Rhinolophus ferrumequinum: one gene and its partner. The protein of the gene in region 1 interacts with the protein of each later gene in a biochemical or structural test. Links are inferred from orthologs where the notes say so. Each region holds a gene or a part of one and is shown in the gene's direction. Other genes may lie near its edges.

Evidence for each region.
Region 2: the proteins of JADE1 (region 1) and KAT7 form a complex in vitro, tested with the Homo sapiens proteins (2 studies listed by BioGRID). The link is inferred for Rhinolophus ferrumequinum from reciprocal best matches to the Homo sapiens genes JADE1 and KAT7.

What each region holds. Positions count from the first base shown.
Region 1 is NC_046301.1:9,160,822-9,171,507, forward strand, and holds the start of JADE1 (protein Jade-1), read left to right. Parts: upstream 1-6,123; 5' UTR 6,124-6,126; coding exon 6,127-6,145; intron 6,146-10,686.
Region 2 is NC_046304.1:33,630,014-33,640,553, reverse strand, and holds the start of KAT7 (histone acetyltransferase KAT7), read left to right. Parts: upstream 1-6,447; 5' UTR 6,448-6,638; coding exon 6,639-6,653; intron 6,654-9,052; coding exon 9,053-9,200; intron 9,201-10,540. UniProt on the Homo sapiens protein: Catalytic subunit of histone acetyltransferase HBO1 complexes, which specifically mediate acetylation of histone H3 at 'Lys-14' (H3K14ac), thereby regulating various processes, such as gene transcription, protein ubiquitination, immune regulation, stem cell pluripotent and self-renewal maintenance and embryonic development.

The sequences.
Region 1 (10,686 bases):
TCATTAGTTTTGTACATACCTTCCTTCTCACCTTCGGGGGGTTAGTTTCTAGCAGGGAGGCTGTTTTCAGCAATTCCTAGCTATAGCTTAGATTCCTTTCATGATTAGCATATCTCTGTGGAAGACTAAGTAAAAATTGCTAACTGACCTGATATGGGAACTGGGCAGAAAAGCTGATTATTTTGTTTTATGGCACAAGCTTCTGCCTGTTCACTGTACAGCAGGACCTCCGTTTGGTCCCCTAGATGCTGCTCTCCCCATTTGATAGCTTGTACTTAGTGGGAGCCCTCCCCCGGTGCCCTAGACATCCCTTATTGGCTGGAGGAAGGAGCTCTCTCCCCTTCCCAGAGCAGGCACTGACCTGGGAAGCTGGAGACTTTGGAAGGGCTGGAGCAGTGAGCTGTGCCTCCATCACAGGCCGGTGCCACTGTCTCCATAGCAGTGACTGTGATCCAAGTCCCTCTCTCTCACCAGGTCATCGCAGAAGCCTCATATCTAGCCTCCCCAACTCTGTCTCACTTCCACACATCCATTCTCCATACAAAGCCCGAGTTTTTGTAAAAAAAACTTTTTAAAAAACCGCAACACTAACCCCCACGCCCCTCAACCTGGCTTCAGACTTGTTTCTCTTTGGTATCTTAATTTGTGCTAAAAGTATGAAAATCAACAAAATTAAGACAACCAAAATCAAAAACAAGCAAAGGGGGAAAAAAAAGGAAGAAAGAACCTCAAGAAAAAAATAATTTAGTGGGTACTGACACCAACAAAAAACGTGTGGGTTATTGGCCTTCCACTCAATCATTTCTTATAATTGAAGGTTGTAACCACTTACCTGGCTGTTCCGGACTGGTGGCCTCATCGACTGGCCAGACAAGGAGCTCTAGTCCTAATCTTTTACCCATGACCTCCTATTTCTTCTCATGGGGTTCAGGCATAGGCTGAATAGGCTTCCCAACTTTACTCTTCTTGTTCAAAGTATGCCCACTTATCCGCTTTGAAACACATCCCTTCCCACCCAAATAATATCATTTAAAAATGTCAATAAAAAGTTATTTTCTGTCATTTAGTTATTAATTTTTTTTAATTACTTGACAACCTAAGACCTCTTTATAACATGTTTTGTTTGGGGCATAAATTCAAAATTCCAAACAAAGTACAAATAAAGTTTTAGAACACAACCCATTTTATTCATGAGACCACTTGTGCACTAAAAAATTCTCTCTATGCGTCATAATGCGTACCAACTGGCAATGATATTGGCCAGTAAGAATTTCTTGCACATTTTATTAAAGGAATGAGATAGATTGGACTTTAGTGCATGCATCTACCTCCCTTCAAATATGAACAATTCTGAATCTCTTGTCAAGGTCTTATAATTCTTTACTTACAGAGGAAACACAAACGAGATAACAAGTAAACATCTGTAAGTGTAATCATGTATGGTTCCCAAATCAGGAATATGAATGTAAATATCCAAAATTTTATTACATAAAAGTCCATTATTATGGAAGAAAATAATTAAACTGTGTATGACTATAGCAAAATTTAAGGGATATGTAGAATTATAATTATCACGAAGAACACTGATCATATCAGAAAATACTATAATCTGATATTTCAACTACACTTACTACTATGTAGCTATTTTCTTGAATGTCCTTTCATCCATGATAATAAAGTGTGGATTAACAACTTTACGGTGATCCTCAATGATTTGGTACCGGAAGACAGTAAGTGACAGAGTGGAACCAGAAACATATATTCCTAGCTGTCAGCTTAATACTTCTTATTCTAGACTGCATTACCTGTACTGCTGAAAGGCAAACTGTGTCATTGCCTTTCCCATTTTAAAAATAGGTTTATAAAAGTTGCCTCAGTGGTCTGATAGCAAAAGACAGCTATTATTTAAAAAATGTCAACAGTTGATCATTAATGACCAAATATCTTTTTACATGTTCCTCACTGATTCAAATTGTCTTCCATTTCTTCAAATAATCACTTTTTAAGTTTGGTAAGAACAATAAAAAATTAGAAGTTGGATTTGATCTTATCTATCAATCTCTGTGGGGAAACTAAGGCCCAAAGAGATTTTTAGTGTGGGCTGATGGGAGTCTCCTGACTTCTAGTCCAGGACTGTTTTACAGCACATGGCACTACCTCACCCATAGTATTCTGAAGAATTGGCATCGTTGAGAGGATGTCCCTGGGAACATCAGTCCTGATCAGTGTATCAACATGGGACATTTGTGTGCTGTTTTACCTCTTTATTTATTTCATCCATTTACTCAGTACTTTGATTTAGTTGCCTGATGTTTTGAGAGTGGGGATAGTCAGAAAAATGAGTAAAACTGCAAGTGACAAATGTGATTTAAAATTTTCTTTTAGGGAGAATGAGTGAAGAAAGTCTGGCTGGAATTTAGAAGTTACAATTTTCCATGGAAAGAAGATCAAGAAAGGCATATGGGAGGGATGGCCAAAGGAGCTGATAACTTCCTACTGCCCTGGCCTCTGCTGGGCAGTTTTATGGGGTTGTCTCATTCCCCTTAACAACCTTTTAGGTAGGGGTTGTTAACCTCATTTTATTATTACTTATGGAGAAATGGAGGCTCAGAGTTCTGTAATTTACCCCACAGTCACACAAGCTGATAACTGGTAGAGCCAGGTCCAAGACAGGATCTGTCTGGCTACAAACCACCTGTGTGCTTTTACTTCTACAGTAGAGTATGTGTAAGGTGAAACAATGAAAATAATAACTGCAAAGCGATACTAATAATAGTAATAATGATAACATAGTGCTTTACATGTGTGATCTCTTTGAACAGGATTAAGTAAGCACATGAATAGGGCTGATGTGGTGTCTTTGTATCCTTCGTGAGTGAAACAGTATATGTCTCTACTTAAGATTTCCTTTGGCTTACTTTGTTTTCTGAAAAATAATTGAACGGCTCAATTAATTTTGTTTTGATGCATTTATCAGATTATTATGTTCTTGATGTGGATGGATGGGTTGGTGTGTGATTGTGTGAAATCCAACCTGAGATATTCAGAATTCTTCCAGTGCATAAGTATATACCTTTGGGTTCGATATTCAATTTTGTAATTAGTAATCACTGTTCCTGTTTACTGAATGGGAGTTTTTATCCGTACCTTTTGAAGCTGAATGTCATATACACCCATAATTCTTTAGGGGGGTACATGAAAGAAATGTTAAAAACATGAAAAAGCAAGTTTGTAGTCTGTGGAAAATCAGTAACACTCATTTTTATACATAAATACCCCCCCAAATGAATCTCTGATGACTAATTTTATATTAGTCTGCAACTCCAGTTTTAGCATTAGGCTCAAGTCTCCTATATGGAAGGCTACGTCCAGTCCTGTAATACTTGTCCTGTGGAACAGAAAAGTGGTGTCAGTTGATAATCAGTCTCCTAATGAATTAACGCTCATCTGCAATTATCAGTTCGATACTAACTTAGGTAAAGACGTGTTCCAGCTCCAAAGTTGGATTCAGTGGATCTAAAAATGTCATGCTAATTCACAACTCCCTAAAACTGTTACTACAAAACAGAAGAACTATTTATTTTGCTATTCAGTCTAAAAATAAATCCTTTCACCCAAATTGTACGCCTTAATAGCCACATTTTTATCTACATAATTTTAAACTAATTTGAAAGAATCCATGTCTAGGTGCCGTGCAGTCAGACAAGAGTTGGAAGTGAGACAGTTTGGAGATAATGTAAAAGCCCACCTCCCTGCTGGGGACACCTCAAGAATTTCTAGCCTCACAAGGGAGGTGAAGGAAGAGATTTTAAAAGCTGAGCAGCGCTAGCCCTCGCGGACGCAGGCCGAACCAGCTGCGGCGAGGGCCGCGAAGAGTTAAGGAGGGACGGAGCCCCCCGCGCCGCGGGCTCCCCGCGCGCTCCCTCCGCCCTCCTGTCCCCACCCTCTCGTTTTGGCAAGGGATTAAAGTGCTCCCCCCTGTGGCAGCAGTGACCCAGAAATGAGTTTGATTCACACAGTCCTTCCTCCATAACAAGCCAAACGCCCGTCCGAGAGTGCCTCCCTGCGCGAGTGCCGAGTGTGTGTGCGCCGGCGAACGCAGGGGCCCGCCCGGCTCCCCGCCCGCCCGCCCGCCCTCCGCGGCCCGAACTCATGCGGCACCGAGCGAGCGGCGCGGAGCCCAGCGCCTCGGCCGAACCCCTCCGCAGCAGGTACGCGCGCGGGCCGCGGGGGGCGCGCGGGGGGGCGCGCCGCGCGTGTGTCCGCGTGTGGGTCCGTGTGCGCGTCCCGATCCCGCGGCGGCGGCGGCTGCAGGACGAGCCGAGAGGCTCAGCCATATTTGATGGTTTTGTTGCTTTGCTCGGGAGTTCTCGGGAGTAATTTAATGCCGAAGGTCGCTGCCTAGTGGAAATAATATAGTACGTCATTAATATGGCGCCAAAAGATTGGGTTCTCGATATGTAGCGAGGAGGGAGGGCAGGCAGCCGCCGAGCGCAGCCTTACTATCCCACCAGTAACTTGGGCATTGCCGGGGCGGGGGCCAGAGGAGGAGGTGGAAGAGAGGATGATTTTTGGAGCCTGAGAATTGATTTATGTTGGATCAGTAAGTTTTATTACGATTATTTTTCCATTTTGGGGGGGCTGAAGACTTGCAGCTTTTTCTTTTGGGTTTGCGAAGAACATGCGGTTTTCAGGTGAAGCATCAATTAAACGCGTTCAGGCGCAGACGCCGAGTTGAGTTGGCTTTAGTTTATAAAATTAAAAAAAAATCCCCAAAGTGCATTAGGCTGCATGAAAGTGGAAAGCATAGTAGCAACTTGGTAGACAGATGGCAATGGCAGAACGCAGGTTCGCATACATATATGAATCCAGAGTGTGTGTGACCGTGGAGGGGGGACGACTGGATTTCTCTAAACATAGGTGTGTGTGTGTGTGTGTGTGTGTGTGTGTGTGTAGGTACATTTGTGTAGGGTGGCCGCAGCCCCGGCTCTTGTCACCGCGTCACCACATGTCCAAAATATTCATTGCATCTATTCAAGGGCAGTGAGTAGGGGGTGGAGGGACAGCTTGGCAATTTAGATTCTTCCAAATTGGGTTTCCAATGATCAGACCTTTTACTTACAGCGAGACTGCCTGTAAAGTGTAAAACCTTCCATCGGTGAAATGAGGAAGGAGTTGCATTGATAGAGCAAAGTACCGATTAACCATGAACTTAAAACGGATTGCAAATTGAAACCTTTGGCACCATCTGCAAATTGTGGGGGTGGGGTCGCTTGGTGTTCGCTGCCTTAAATGAACGTGCAGTGTGTACCCCGGTACTGCAAGTTGCAAAGCCCTTTAGTGCACGTGTCTTATGCCTGTGAGTGTGTTTGTGAGTTGGGGGCTGTTGTTCGGGAGCCAGCAGGCTTTCCGGGTTGTTGGCGCTGGCTTGCAAATGCGGGAGAGGGATGGAATGTGGAATGTTGACCGGGGAACCGAATCCTGTCGGAACGGTCCCATTTGCTGGAGAAATTCGATCCCTTCCACCTCCTTCCCGCTCCCCCCCGCCCGCCTGCGGGCAGGAGGCGGGGCCGAGGACTCGGCTGCTGCTCAAAGTGGCGGAGCGCGGCGGCGGGAGGCAGGTGCACGGCACCCGCCGGTGGGGGTGCCTCAACTTCCGCGGGCGTTTAAATAGCCTCTCTCCCCTCCCACCGGTAATAGGTGACCTGGCGGCCGAGGGCGGCGGGGGGGGGGGAGGGAAAGGGGGAGACCCGGGAGCGAGCCTTCGCGGCACGTGGGCAGGTGCTGGGTGGCCCCGGGGCCAACTTTTGTAGCCCGCCTCTGGCGTTGGAGGAGAGCCGGCTCCATGTGGAAATGGGGGCGGGCGGCAGCCGAGGCGCTGCTTTCTCGGCCGCGGCCGGAGCGTCACCTAACGGTCCCAGCAGCGCTGCCGGGGCCCGGGGTGGGGGGCTACAGGGGCGGGGACGCCCGGCCGGCCGCGCCCGCCCCGCACAAAGCCCGCGGCGTGGGGGCGACCGCCGCGCCCCCGCCCAGAGAAAGGCTCGAAGCCCGTGGCTGTCCCCGCGCCGATTCCGGCAGGCGGCCGCAGGCGTTTGTTTGTTGGTTCCGCGCCGCCTTCCTAGCCGGATGGCTTCCTGTGACAGAGGTGATACACAGTTTCCAGAACTGTCTGGGGGCGGGAGTGGGAGCGGGAGCCGAGCCCGCTCGGGGCTGCTCGCCGCCGCTCCCTTCGCACAACCGTTTCTCGCCGAGCGCCCGCCCAGCCCGAAGGTGCCGCCCGGGAGGGACTCGGGGAGGGGGACGGCGCTGCCGTTTCCAGCGGCGCAAGTGGCTTCTGGACGCGAGGGAGCGTTTGATTTGCAACTGGGGCCGAGCGGATTGGTGCAGCTGGCGGCGGCGGGGCGGGAGGAGCGGCGGCGGCGGCGGGGGGTGGCCACTTTCGAATGGAGAGGGCGGCGGCGGGGACGTCGCTGCGGAGGGAGCGGCGCTTGGTTGCGCCACGAGAAGGTGTCATCACTGCACCGGGGCTAATTCCGGCGGAGGTGCCGGGAGTTACTTTCCCCTCCTCCCGCGCTGTTGTTTCTGTCGCCTCGGGAGCAGAGGGAAGGAGGGCGGGAGGGGGCGGCGCCGCGGCCCTGCGTGCACCCGGGCGGGTGGCGGGAGCCGCGCGGTGTGCTCTCTGCGCGGGGCGGCGGCCCAGCTCCCCACATCCCCGCATCGCCCTCCTGGGGTCCCAGCCTTCTCCCCTCAGACCCCCCCACACCCTCCCCTTCCCAGGCGGGCCCCCCATCCCGGGGTCCTCCCGGCTCTCGTCACCCCGCCTCCCCAGCACCCGGGCCCAGGCTTTCCCACCCCGGGCTCCCCCTCCCGGGCGCGCAGGGGCGGCCGCAGTCCCGGCGCCGGGTGAATGCAGCGAGCAAACAAAAAAGCGGGCGATTTAAACGTGCCTTCGAAACCCGTTAGGAATGCGTCGTCAGCCGGAGGCCGTTTAAAAGCAGCTTTGGCTGGCTTTCTAGTAAGGAGGAGGCGGGCGCCCCACCTCGCCTCGGCGGGGACGGGGATCTGTCGCCCTGTTTACTCCGGCCAAGAGGGAATTTAAAATTTCTTTTTGTAAAGTGATAGCTGCAGTCGAATGACTTAAAACAGCTACATTTTCAGGAAATTGGGAGAGAATCTGAGGTTTCCTTTGATGGGAACGCTTGGGGGCTTCTTTCCCAGAGGTTTTTATTAGGTGATCTATTTTTCCTTTTTAGAAACCCGCTGTGAAAGACTAGCTCTCTAGTTACATACTCGTAGCCCAAGGCTAATACCTTACAAAGCTAATGAACTAGTTTTAAGAGACAGAGGAAATTATTTTCCTGAAAGCTGATTTAGGTAGTGATCCACCAATGGTTAGGGATTACTTCTAGTAAGTTGCATTTTGATAAAAATCACTGATAACCATTATTTAATCACTTCTAGGTGGAAAAGGAAACCTTCCAAGTAACCACACTTAAATTAGTGCATCAATAATTTGTTGGGGAGTGGGCAGCACATGTTGGAGAGATACTTAGGATATTCTTGTGGGGGGACAACCTTCTAGCAAATAACTGCAGCCTAGAATTTTTATTGCCCTTCTATCCCTAATATTTCAGTCTCATTTAATGTCACTTTCAAATCAGATGACTTTCTGATTGCTTGGTATTTTGCTTATGTTTACATGATCTGGCATTTTCACTTCCACATTCAGAACTAATAGTTTTTTCAGCTATTTAAGTGTTATGTTTTCCCATATCTCCCTTCATCCTTACACTGGCCCGAGATAAAGGTTGTTACCTGACATGCAGTAGAACTTGAACATGATTCCATCTTAAGAGCATACATCGGCTGCTTTCTAGTAAGAAAAGTTGGGTTCATTGCCACAGAGATTTTAACTTTGACAAACTAGCTAGATGTTCATTTTAAAGGGAAAAAAACCCCACGATATTAGTTCCTTCTCCATCACTTGACAGGTTTTCAGCCTACAATCCAGTGTTTTAGTTTTATGTTAGTTAGCAAGGTTGAAAAAATAGCAATAAAGGGAAATCAGCGAAAAATGATTAGTGTGCCTGAGAGTGAGAGAGAGAGAAAACTCTTTGGGGTTTAAGGAAATGCTATTATTTTAGAAATGACTATTGCTTAGCCCAGAGGCTTGGGGAGAAGGATTAACCAAAAAAAACAAAACAAATCTTGGAGGACTTGATGAGAATAAAAGCAGATCTCCATGTGTCTCACCTATAGTAGGCACTTCATAAATACTGATGTTTGACGTCAAGGAGCCCTTGGTGACTTAAAGTATTATTACAGAAGTGGTGTTACATGTATATTGTTGAAACTCAGAAAATGCAGAGAAGCAAATATAATAACATTCCTACCACCCAGAGATCACCATTGCATCACTTTCCAGGCAATTGTGTATGCATATGTATGTATGTTTTAATAAAAAAGAGATCATACTGTATATAAAGTTCTGTAAGGGGTGTTTTTCCCCTGCCAGCTAGCTTGGGAAGTTTTCATCTCATCTATTACTGGGACATACTCAGATTCCCTCAGTTGGCCGCAAAATACAACAGCAGCTTTGTCTAAAACTGTACCGTCGAGGATCATTTATTACACCTGGTTATTTCTCATAAGTGGGTTTTAATCTATAGTAACTTTCTGACAGAACCTCTGGCATTTAGGAGACAAGCCTTTGGAATTAATCATGACTGGATTTTTAAAAAGTTGGAAGTCAAAATAGCATTTTATTGTAATCTGAAAGTCTTAGATTTGGAGATTCTGTTTGAAAAGACTAAAGAAATTTGCCTGATGTATATATATCTCCACAGACTTGTTGGAAAAAATTATCAGCTGTTTCTTTCAGTACTGAGTTGGAACAGCGAACACCAAACCATCAAACACTGATCAGATCATGTCTATAGGATTGTGTCAGGAGTGGAGGAGGTGTATACATCCTCACAGTTCTGCCTCCTGACTTCCTATTGGTGAAGCTTTTCCCTCCTTTAGTGTTATGGGTACCTGTTATTCCAGTACAGTTATGGTTTGTCAGAATTTGCATTATTTTTCCCACAAGGAGAATAAAATAAACATCCTCTGGAGGAAAATACATTTAGCCAGTACATCTTGCTTTTAATTTGGATTGGGATTAAAAAGTTGGGCTTGTTCAAACGGTGAGTTATATCAGTGTTACACTTCTTTCCTCCCTGTCCAAGCCTACAGGTTACAACATTGGTACCATATTCAGCAATGCCCTTTTTATAAAAAAGGTTTTTTTTTTAAATAAAAGCTGGCTTTGCTTGGAATTTTTAGTTTCTTACGTGGTAGGAACCTCAATTGGGAAAGTATTTTAATTCCTGGGACAGTAAGTTTCCTTGACGATTATGTTCAATCTTTTCTTCACTTTCAAGATGTTGCAGCACTTTATGTGACATTTACTTAAAATCTGGACAAGTTAATATTTATTATTTTGGTATGTGACATTTCAGAAAGTTGAGACTTAATTGAAGGAGAATCTATTGTCATGTGCGTGGTGTACTTAAAAATATTGGTCTGATTGTGAGGGTAAAGATTTTGATGTTTTCCCAACTGGTGTGCTCAGATGGAGTAAGTTACTCTGCATTCCTAACAAATGAAAGAGTGGCCCTGGACGGCATCGGGTTTATAAGTTAGCTAGAGTGGAGTGTCATGAAAGGGAGAGAAAGTCTAGTCTAAGAGGGTATTGATGCTGACTCAGGCAGTGTTACTGTGGCCTTAACTAGCCTAGACCTTGAATGATTATTACTAAGGACGTCTTTCCTCACCTGAGAGCAGCAACAAAAAGATTGTCAGACGTGGAGTGGAAAGCTTAGTCGCTGGTGACGGGACTGTGTATTTCCATTTTGAATTCCTTTATTAACCCTAGACCAGATGTGCACTTAATGGAGGTCCAGGGACCAAACTTGGTTACTCTACAGCCAGCCTAGTATTTACTTTTTGTGTTTGGTTCTTCAGGTTGAGTCAAGAAGTAATAAGGTGACCGAGAACAGTTGAAGTAAGTTCATTTTTAAAACCTTAGGTTCGGTTGGGCTTACTTGTAGAAGAAGTTAAACCACAGTTTTATCTTGTTTTGAAAGCACTCCCAACTGGTAATAACATATTTTTAATATTGATCATTTAGTGTCTGCACAGGGGATTCTATTAATTTGAAACTTCATGACAGCTTCTAAGACACTTTCTAAGCAGTTATTTTAAGTGAGGATTTCAGTGGTAAGAGTCCAAGCTGAAGAATAAAATGAGCATTTGTTTCCTGTACCCCTTACTCTTGGGTAAGGAGTCAGTATTGGCTTAACAAGTTGCTGGAGTTTGAGCTGTGTGGTTTGCTTTTGTTTAGCCCAAAGTACACTAACACGATTTAAGATTTTTCTTGATTACTCACGGCCAGCTTTATGAGCATCAGTTATTTCTGCGTTGAGATTAATGACGCATTTAAGAAGTGTGGGCAGAGTCCTGGTGGAGTGTAACTTTTTAAAGTCAAGGGCTCTTTTGAGCCCTAAAGCTGTGGAAACTCCCCAAGAAAAAGCAAGTAGCCCTGAAACTTGCATGTCATTTCAGGGATTCGCTGGATACTTTTAAATGTATCCTGGCTTCCAGTTTAGTGTTTAAATTCTGGTGACTTCTTTTTATGATTTC
Region 2 (10,540 bases), on another chromosome or scaffold:
TTTTCCAGATGTATTCATGGAAGCCATGGGAGAAGAGGGTCATGATGGTTAGACTCAGCCTTTCTGAAGCCCTCTTTTTCCTTCCAGTCCTATCTTTGGAGAGAATGTGGTTTGGTGTAGTGACATCTACTGGCAAAGCTAGGCAGATAAGAAAATGACCAGATGCCCACTCATCCTCAAGTAACTTCCAGAGAAGTGAGAAAATCATTCTTAACCCCTGGGACTGGGTTGAGATCAGTAACCTCAGTTGATTAGAGCAAAACTTAGAAGACCAAGATTGTGGATTTGGAACATGTATGTGCTGGTTTGCTTTGAATATAGAAATGTTTTTCCTAGTTATAGCTTGCATCCCTCACCTTGGCCAGTTGATTCACATCTGGGTACAGTTAGTCACAAGGGAGACTGGATAAGCATGTGTAAGTGACTCAGAGGGCCCCATTCCTGGGCCCCATTCCTGGGAAGGCATCTCCCAACAAAGCAAATGACCCACAGTTTACAAATGACAGCATGCAGGTCATTTTTCATCCCCCTGAAGTTGACTGGTTTGGGAAACATTTTTTTCTGGGACTCAGTTTCTCCCAGGAAAATAAAAAGTGTCTGCAGAACCACCTTCATGGTTCCTACAGTGGGCAAGAATGACTATAGTCTGTAAAATAGCCCTCAACTCTTGCTGAAGTCAGACATATCCTGCCTCTTCATTGTATCACATATGCCATCTACACATTCTGTTCACAATCGCATTTTCTTTCTCAATAGCATGCATACTTGACAAAGAGTTTACCACTAGGTAACTAGAAAGCCAGAGCGCAAGTGAGGAGAAAAAGACTAGAGAAATAACCATGAAGCAAATGTTGTGCCTTCTTAATAACACTGACTCTGTAACTGAATGTGGCTCAGACAGAGAATCTATTTATCTATCTATCTATAATTCAAACTTAAAAGAAAAATCATTAAGACCCAGTAGAGAAATGAATAATAGGATTTCACAGAAGAGGAAACAGAACTTGTAAATACACACATGGAAGACTGAAGTGTATCTTAACTACAGCAACAAAATTAAAAGCACATTTGAAGTGCAGTTTTCATTTCTACTAAAGTGGTAACACTCAGTTCTGGGAACAATGTCTTAAAATTAGCACCCTTACACAATGATGGTGACACTTTAAATGTGGCCAAGTCTTTGGGGAAAGAAATCAAGCAATATGTAAGAGGTAGAAATAAAAGCAAGAGAGAGCTACAAATGCATGCAAATACTCACTGCAACATTATCTAACATAAAACACCCTCAATAACCTCACGTAGCAGAGTGAGAGTACATTATGCCACAGTACAAGGTAATGCTACACAGTGATTACAATTATGAAGACTATTAGAGGAACATGGAAAATGTTGAGAATGTGTAAAAAATATGAAATTTCATGTAAACAATGAATGCATCTATACAAAAATATGCACATGTAATAAAAACGTGGAGAAAAATTGGAAGGCAATATATAAAAAATAAAAATAGCTTTGTGGTAGCACTGAGCTTAAGAATGTCTTTTATTTTCTTAAAAAGGTAGTGTTATTACACTGGGTTAATAATTTTTGAAAAGTGGAGGGGGTTGGGGCAGGTGAGTCATCCTCCCCCAGCCCCCTGCTATACACTTTGTCCCACATCATCAGTTTGAGGAGGAGAAGGACCACATCTATTTATTCACAGTGAGCATTCAGTTCCCATCCCAATGCCTCGCCCTTATCAGATGCTCAATAAATAGCTGTTGAATGAATAAATGAAAATGCCTAAAGTCTAAAAAGTCTCAACCCATGATGACTGGGTACATTCCATCCTGGGGAATAAAGAGGAATTTGGTTTTGCTGGAATAAAAAAATGTAGGCCCATCCATAATGGCAATTCCCTGGTTGTCTTGATAAGTGAATTTGGGCATGGAGAACCCAGGGAGAGACCGTCTGTTAAAGCAAACCCAATTACCACCCAGGAACATATGTTGCCCTGAGGCCTCTGCTGCCATAACAACGTCGTGTAACTATAACTACAGCCCTGGAGGGCTTTGGCCCTGTCAAATATGGAAAAAGATGTCTTCATCATACCACGGCTTTATGCAGATTGACTTCCCTTGGGAGCTTGGATCAGGGAAGGGAGGTAGATGGTGGAGGAAGGCGGGAGATGATGGGCAGGAATAGGAGAACAGCTACTGAATCAGGATCAGAGTGATTTTTTTTTTTTGAGCAATTTTCAAAATGCAGTTATTTGACTGTTTAGTTTTGGTGGTTATTTATAATCCCAGCTGCAGAGGCGGGGAGCTGTGCCTGAGCCTGCTGGGCTCTGTCCAACACCTTCCCCCAGGGTGGGGCTGGGGGTGCGTGGTGGATAAGAGTGATACCAGAACCAAATGAACAAGTGGCCAAGAAGGTAAGAGAAGTCCCAGGCCATATATGGCAAGAGTAAAAAAGGAAGGACCATTAGTGACCGTCATGACTATGTTGATGAAAAGATTTTACTATGAATTGTGGTCACATCAGCAACCTCTAAGAGTCTCCCAAAGGGATAAAGACTACACCCATACGTGTACTCAGAAGTTACGAGATTGGCCTGGCTACTCTAGCTTTGTCTTAAAAAGGTCAAGGCATGCGTGCCCACCTTACAGGACAGTTAGTTATCCGTCCACAGGGAAACTGTTGTTCCTAACTCCCCCTAGGCACATAGTCAAAAAGAGGCTTAGAGGAGAGATGATGGCTGGTTCTGTGCAAGTCTTTCCTAACTGAGCCAACACGTGGCAGTGGCCACCCCATTTACTGAGCCCTTTTAGATGCCAGGCTGCGAGACTGAAGTTGGAGACAGTGTGGCCAGCCAGGCAAGGCTCCCAACCTCCATGAGCTCCCAGGCCTTTGAAGCAAACAATGAACAACTACACTTTTTATTTGAAATATGGGACCTATCATTTTACTGGCAAGGGGAGCATTTGAAAGGAAATTGAGGGATCTTTTAGGGAGTTCACAAATGTAACTGAGGAGACAAGATATAGTTACAAGAAAGAAAATGCACAAGGACATACCCAAAGGATTGGCCCCACTACCCTTGCCCTGTTCAGTTCTCCCTCCACTCCAGGGAATGTTATTATAGCAGCGTTGTAACCGGTCTCCTGGCCTCAGGACTCCCTGCCACTCTGTTCAGTATCCATCACGGCTTCCAGAAAGAGATCTTTGAAGTGCAAGTGTGATCGTGGGACTCCTCTGCTTAAAGTCCTTCAGCGATTCTCCATCACCTCCAGGCCAGGCTCCTTAGCAGGGCATTCAAGGCTCTGCATGAACTTGTTCCCCAAATCATTCCTGTCTCTTTTTTTGGCAACTCCACCATGCCGTTAGTCACTCGCACAACACACAATGCTGCTCTACTTCTCTGTGCTTTTACACATGCTGTTTCCTTTGCACAGAAAGCCCCTATTCTCCTTGTCCACTGGTAAACGTACTTGTCCTATAAAATCCCACTCTTATTTCACCTCTTCTATCAATCCTTTCCTAAACTCTCCAGTCAAAACACTCCACTCCCTCTTCTGCACCACTTCCGAAGCTTGCTCATCCTTCTGTTTTCCTATTAATAATACTCCATAGTGTTTTGGAACAAAGAGCTTACTGGCCTGGGGAAGCATGGTGTTTTGTCCTCAGTGGCGTGACTCAATGCCTGGTATACAATGCCTGGGTAATTATTCTGTGTCTCTTGAGCTGAAGTAGAACAGACAAAAGCAAAGAGCCATTGAGACCATATAAAGATATATTCACAAACATTACGATGTCATAGCCATGACTAGGGTGACTGGAATAATAAATATGAATAACAACGACCATTTCCTGAGCACTTACTTGGTAAGGAACTGTGCTTTACAACAATCATCTCCTTTAATCCTGGCGACAACCCTGTGAGGTGGCTATTAGTGTCTCCATGTCACAAATGAGAAAACTGAGGCACAGATAAATTTAAAAACTTGTCCAAGAGCAATGCAGATAGAAAGTGGCAGAGCTGAAATTCAAATCCAGGTCTGACATCAAAGCCCTGTACTGGACACTAGTAGAGCTGATGAATAAACAAATAGGAGTTCTATGTTCCTATTATTTGTCTGGGAGGGACAGAGGAGAACAGAAGAGCTACCAAATTGTATGAGAAAAAGTGTAAATGTAGCAGTAAGTGCAAAATACCATAGCATGCTCTACTACCTAGGAAATAATAAATCAGGACTTTCTGAAGAAAGTAAATTTTAAAGAAGGTTGGGAAACGTACCGAGGCAGGAAGAACAGCAGAGCTACCTATGTGAAGTCTGGCAGATGAGGATGGACAGAAGAGCACTGGTCAAAGCCTTTGAAACCAGTATCAGTTCCGGCTTCAAGAGTTAACTGTGTCATGACGAAAAGGACACTCGAAGTAAAGACTATGTTTGGTTCAAAAGAAGAAAGGAAGAAAGAAAATAGCTCTCAGGATTCCCCTTTCCCCATTCTAAATATATAGCTTTCATCTCAAGTCCACATTTTCCTTATATTTCTATCCTATTGGTGTTAGCTTTTTCACGCCGCCAGAGTGTACACGTTCCAAGGACAAGAATCATGTCTAAATGAAACTGTAAATTCTTTTACTGTTAGCTGCAGTTTTGAAAATCTAATGAAAGAGATTAACTAATGTCAAACATTTATAAGACTGGTATTTGTATGATGAATGGTTAAGTTAGGGTACGATCTTATTCTAAAATACTAAATTCACCATCTTTGAGTGCTATACATTCAGAGACTGTGAAACAGTAAACATTCTGATTGACCAGCAAGCACTTACTGTGGGTAGAGCATGGTGTGGGCACTATTAAGGATGGTAAGAAAGAACTGAGAAATGGTCTTAACGGGGTGGCCGGTTAGCTCAGTTGGTTAGAGTGTGGTGCTAGTAACACCAAGGTTGCCAGTTCGATCCCCACACGGGCCACTGTGAGCTGCGCCCTCCTTGAAAAAAAAAAGAAAAGAAATACTCTTAACATAAGAGCTCCTTACCACTAGTTGGGGAGCCAGACATCCAAGAATGAGCTCAGGAACACACCAGTGAGTGCAAAATAACAGTAATAGTGTGAAACTAAATGCTTAAGTACTGGGCGTGGGGGATACACAAACAAGCAACTCAAGCCTTTTTCAAATAAGTTCTTATGTGCAGTTCAACCTAAGTAGATTATTCGAAGGTATTTATACTAAACACTAAAAGCCGCCTGGGTTAAAACCTGCCTAGGATATCCCCAAGGAGAATGCTGGCTGAGGGCCTGGAACTCTAACTCTGTTTAGCACATCAATCAGATGTTTACCTCCTGCTGCTTTGTTCTTTAGCTCTGCATTTTGGGAAATCTCCATCTTAGTTGGCCTCAGGTGAAACCGGGGTCCAGGATCCTAACTTAATGACTGAGCTTGCCTGGATTTCACCCAGTTGCTCTTGGTCAAGCTTTGGTCCTTTCAAGGCTTTTCCTCCAACGAGTTTAAATCCTCAAAGCCTGCTCTCCACTTCCCTGCCTTTTCTTAAGGCTCTGCATCCAGCCTTACATCCTTAACCAGATTCTCCTTCTTGGGCCCTCTCAAAGCAGGCTCTATTATTATTATTTAAATACACATGCCTCTTTTAGCTTCAGCTTCACTAAAACTATTCCTTCTTCTTCTTACCTCCCCCAACTCCTGCCTCAAGCATCTGGATTTCCAGAGGCCATTTGGGCTAAATGGGGTTCATTGCTTCTTCGATTCTGGTACGGCACCCCACGCATCCACCTTCCGCGGGCCACCCAGGGCTCTCGAACCCATAAGAACTGGGGAAGGAGGTGGCCGCTCACCACAGAACTGGGAATTCTTTGGAGCTACAACTTCTGGAGAATGGTTCTGCCTCCTTCCGCGACGTGAACGACTTACTTGCTGTTCGCTAAGGGCAAGGACAATGTCTCCTCTACCAGACAAGAAACTTCCTGATGATGGACCCTATCCTTTTGTTCCTTTTACAAGGCCCCATTCCTACCACTTTGAGACACGGGGTGGTTCTTAAAATAGTTTCTTGTGCAAAATATCCCATCTCAACTTTGAGTTTATATGGTAAACGGAAACATCCTTTAGCTAATTGGGCAACGAAGGGGTTAAATCTCAACAACCTGATGAATTCTGGGGGTTTCCTGCCTCGATTTCAGAAATTAAAACAACCGGGAAGGGAAATTTTGCCCAAGGTAAAGATGAGAAGAGTTAACTTCAACTGTCAGGCTTCTGCCCCAAACAATAATGGCTACTCACGTCCACAAAGGGTGCCATTCCCCTAACTAGAAATGGCTGGCCCCCGTTTCTACTTTGTGCCCAATTCCAGCATGGCGCTCACTAGCCTCACCAGAAGGAGCGAACTTCCCAGCACCCATCTGGCCCGTAACGTCAGGTGACGTGAGCCTCAGCCGGAAGTGAAGGAAAAAGCGCCTCAGCCCGCGGCGCCTGCGCAGAAAGCTCTAGACGCTGTGAAGCAGGAGGCACTTGGGATCGTCCGCAGGATTGGGCCTGCTACCGTGGCCGCCACGGAGCCCGCCGGAGCCACCGTTCCTACTGCTGCTGCCGCCGCTGCCCGAATCGGAACCGTCGGGCCGCAGCCGCCGGCAATGCCGCGAAGGAAGGTAAGAACGGGACAGGAGGGATGGCGGGTTTCTAAGGACAGTCGACTGGGCAACGTGACGCAGTTGGCCACGCCTCACACTCCTTGGGTTCCAACTTCCCGCTCCCCGGAACCTAGCTTGGCAACCCTCTCTTCTGTCCATACCCAACAGAAAAATGTGGGCCCGACCCTGGCCTCGGCCTGTGCTTGCAACTATTCCCGCCCTCTGCTTGCCTGGCTCGGAGGCGTTCTTCTCGTTAATTGGTCGCTGAAACGTCTAGAAGCATATTGATTGGCTGATGACACCGCCCATTTGGGCCCAACGGTCACCTCCCCGCGTGCGGGGGCGGTGTCTGGGCCAGGCTGTTCGACTTTCAGACTGGCTGTAGAGAGCGATCTCTCCTCTCTTGATTGGCTGGGCTTGGCAGTCTGTCCCGTGGGGGCGCGGTTTAGCGGGACCACTATTGGATGGCACGAATCCACGCCCTTCTGGCTGCTGATGCTGATAGGTGGAGAGGCGGAGTTTGGGAGCATTCTTTTTTTTTTTTCCGGGCGGGGGGCATAACAAAGCAGAAGAGTGGGTGGCAAAGAACCAGCGCCCACTCCCAAGGGATCCCACTCTGTCCTATTGCATCTAAGCCGTAATTTTTGCTTATTTGCTTAGTTGGACAGGCCCTAGAAAATGCAGTTAGTAAATTCAGAAACTTATACCGGACTTATGAGATCTCTTTGGGACACCCCCATCTCTTTGCCGCTGAACAAACAGGCCTACTGGAGTGTCCCAAGCCACTCATTTAGGCGGTGGCAGAGCCAGCACTGCAGAACAGATTCAATTCAGCAAATGTTTATTGACTACTTGCAGTGTTCTGGTTGCTGGGGGTTCAGAAATTAATTAGACATGATCCCTGGCTTAAGGAAATCACAGTCTGATGGGGGAAAACAAGATCCAGTAAATTCTCTACTTAGAAGTATATGTACAAAGAGTTAGGGGAGGGAAGTGAGGGAGTAAGTCAGTCTGCTCTGGAGTAAGATGGGAAGTAGATTGGTGGAAGCTGAAGAGAAGAGCTGAGTTCCAGGATGGAGCCAGGAAGGGATGGTCAGAGATAATCAGGGATTCAAGTATCTGGGTAATTGGACTAGATGACCTTTAACCCCCCCCTTCTTCCTCTGGATGTTCTGTGATGTCCATTCATTTCTGGGCAGATTACCCTTGAACTATTTGGAAAGCTGGGTAGTATTCTTGCTCATTTCTGCAGAAATATTTATTTTCACAGAGGCTTTCAAATAAAATATATTTTTTAATGTCTTCTAAAATGACCTACATTGCTAGGTGGTGCTTATGTTAAGGCTCACCAAATGCAGGAATAGTATTGGTGCCTTGCTTGGAATAGGTCCACAGTCCCCCCCCCCCCCCCCCCCCCCCGCAAATACAAAGAACTCTTGAAAATGGAAGTTTTTTTGTAACTTATTTGGTGGCAAAACCTGTCCTAAACTGTCCGGAGGCTACTTATATTTTTTGTGGGTCTCCTTGGTAGTGTGATTATATATTTTCCTGCAGGAATACTAATGTGTTTAATTATGGGCTGTTATTTGCAGGATATATGCAAAGTATTGTCTTTCCAAAAATCTAAAAAATAATGAAATTCTAAATAAAGTCCTAAGGTTTTTGAATAAAGAATAGGAGACTTGTAATCTGAAGCTCTGTATTGTTTTTTTTAGCAAATAAGCTTTCCTTTCTGGTTTAGTGTTAACGCTCAATTGATAAAAACTGTGCTTATGGCTAATCATGCCTAAGGAAGCTAAAAATCCTCTTTCTGAATGCCTACAAGTCTTTGTGTACAAGCTGCCTTTTTTGTTTTTATTTTTGTAAGCACCTTTGGCACTCGTGGAGAAACTTCAAATATAGATAACATAAGAAAGAAGAATTTTATTCTTTTTATGCTTAAGTTCTTTTGGGATCAGAGTTGTGACCATGATATTTTGAATCAGTGTATATGGCTTTTTAAAATGTGATGACTGTTCATGGAGACTTTGAACCAGAGCTACCCTAAAGTTAAATGGGGTCTAACATTTTTCTCAGTACCTTGGACTTTCTGTAAGTCCATAGTTATGGCAGCCATACCTTTTTGAATTGGGTACATTTGTTTCCAGTTTGTAATACTGACCTCCAAATAGACTTGTTTTAGAATTAAATTTGTCTTAATACAGCAAGAGTTAATTCTCCTTCATTTATTTAATAAAGGTACGTTATTTCTAGGTTGTTCCACTTAAATGCTCTAAATAACAGGAAGTTGGCTGTGGAATCCTTTTTTAGGTTTGAAGTTGGTGTTTTTGGCATCACAGTTCGTTTTATTTCCAGTGTTAATATAAACCCACAGAGTAAATGCTTCTGTGCTAATGTCTGGATCTATGGTGTTACAGAGGAATGCAGGCAGTAGTTCAGATGGAACCGAAGATTCCGATTTTTCTACAGATCTCGAGCACACAGACAGTTCAGAGAGTGATGGCACATCCCGGCGATCTGCCCGCGTCACCCGCTCCTCAGCCCGGCTGAGCCAGAGTTCTCAAGGTAAAGGCTTCCTTCTTACTGACTATGTCTCACAACTCACTGACTGGTCATCATATTGTGCTGGTTAATGTGGAAACTGGTCCCTTGGCTTGATGTAGTGACAGAATCTGGTAAAATGCAAAGGAAATGACTGCAGAAGTGTCAGGTCTTTAAAAATGGTCCCGTTGGGGTTGCTGTCCATTTTGTAGACCCAAAGGAACTATGTCTGGTATAATGGATGTATGATACATTGTATGTCTGTCTTGAGTCATTTAATTTTTTTTTTTTAGATGTTATCTTTTCCTTTTGTTAGAATGGTTTAGACTTAGGGACTTAAAGTAGTCCCTTGAACTCATTATTGGAGGGGGCCCAGTACTTGTAAAACCAAATGTTTAAGGCTGTAATATAGTCAGATACGCAATTAATAGGTATAAATAGTTGACCTAGTTATTAGTTGTAAGTGCCCAGGATTTTGCTTTGGTAGTAAACAATAGAGAATCTCGGTGTTGGAAGGTTCTCTAGTGCAAGTAGCCATCTGGGCTTAGATTTGCAGGGTACCCCTGACCCTGCCTGGCTCTGTTCTGGATTCTCATAAGGAGGAAAGAAGGTTGCAGTTAATATAGAAAGCTGATCATCAATAGATGATAATAGATTAAGGGCGGGGGAACGTGATATACTTTGAGCACTTAAATAGTGCTGATTTGGTTACTGCTATGTGAGCATGTTGCAAGATGAGAGAAAAAAAGCTTTATTTTGAATTTAACATTTCATCTAAAGTATAACTGTTGTCTCTTGCTTTCTTAATTTAAGTTTTGTTTTTAGCACAATGAGAATATTGATAAATGGTACTATAATTCAGGTACTATACTAGGAACTGGAATGCCATGAGAGAAAAATCAGTTTCTGCCCTCAAGGAGCTCACAGTTTAGTGAGAGATACATAAACTCATCATTGTAATGCATTGTGGTAAGGGCTCTGAGAGTGGTTTGCGTAGAGTACTGTGAAAGCCCAGATATGGGGCAGCCAAACTAGGGCAGGATTCCCAGATGGAAATCTTAAAGGATCTAGTAGGAATTTACAAGTTGAAAGATGGGAAAGTGTTATTATAGGCAGAAGGAACAGTATACGAATATTCAAGAGAAAGGGCATAAAGTTGTTAGAAAGTGTAGTTGGCCATGCCCTGAACACCAAAGTTTTAAATATTCAAAACAGCTAGGAAATAACATGAGCTCTGGGTCTCTTTCTAGTTATTATGCTTCATGACCATGGAGTCGCACAGTTGCTAAGGACACCATTCACAATGTAGTCTGTGTAAGGTGGTCCCTCTAAAGCAAAATACTGGAAACGGAGCCCCCTGGAGG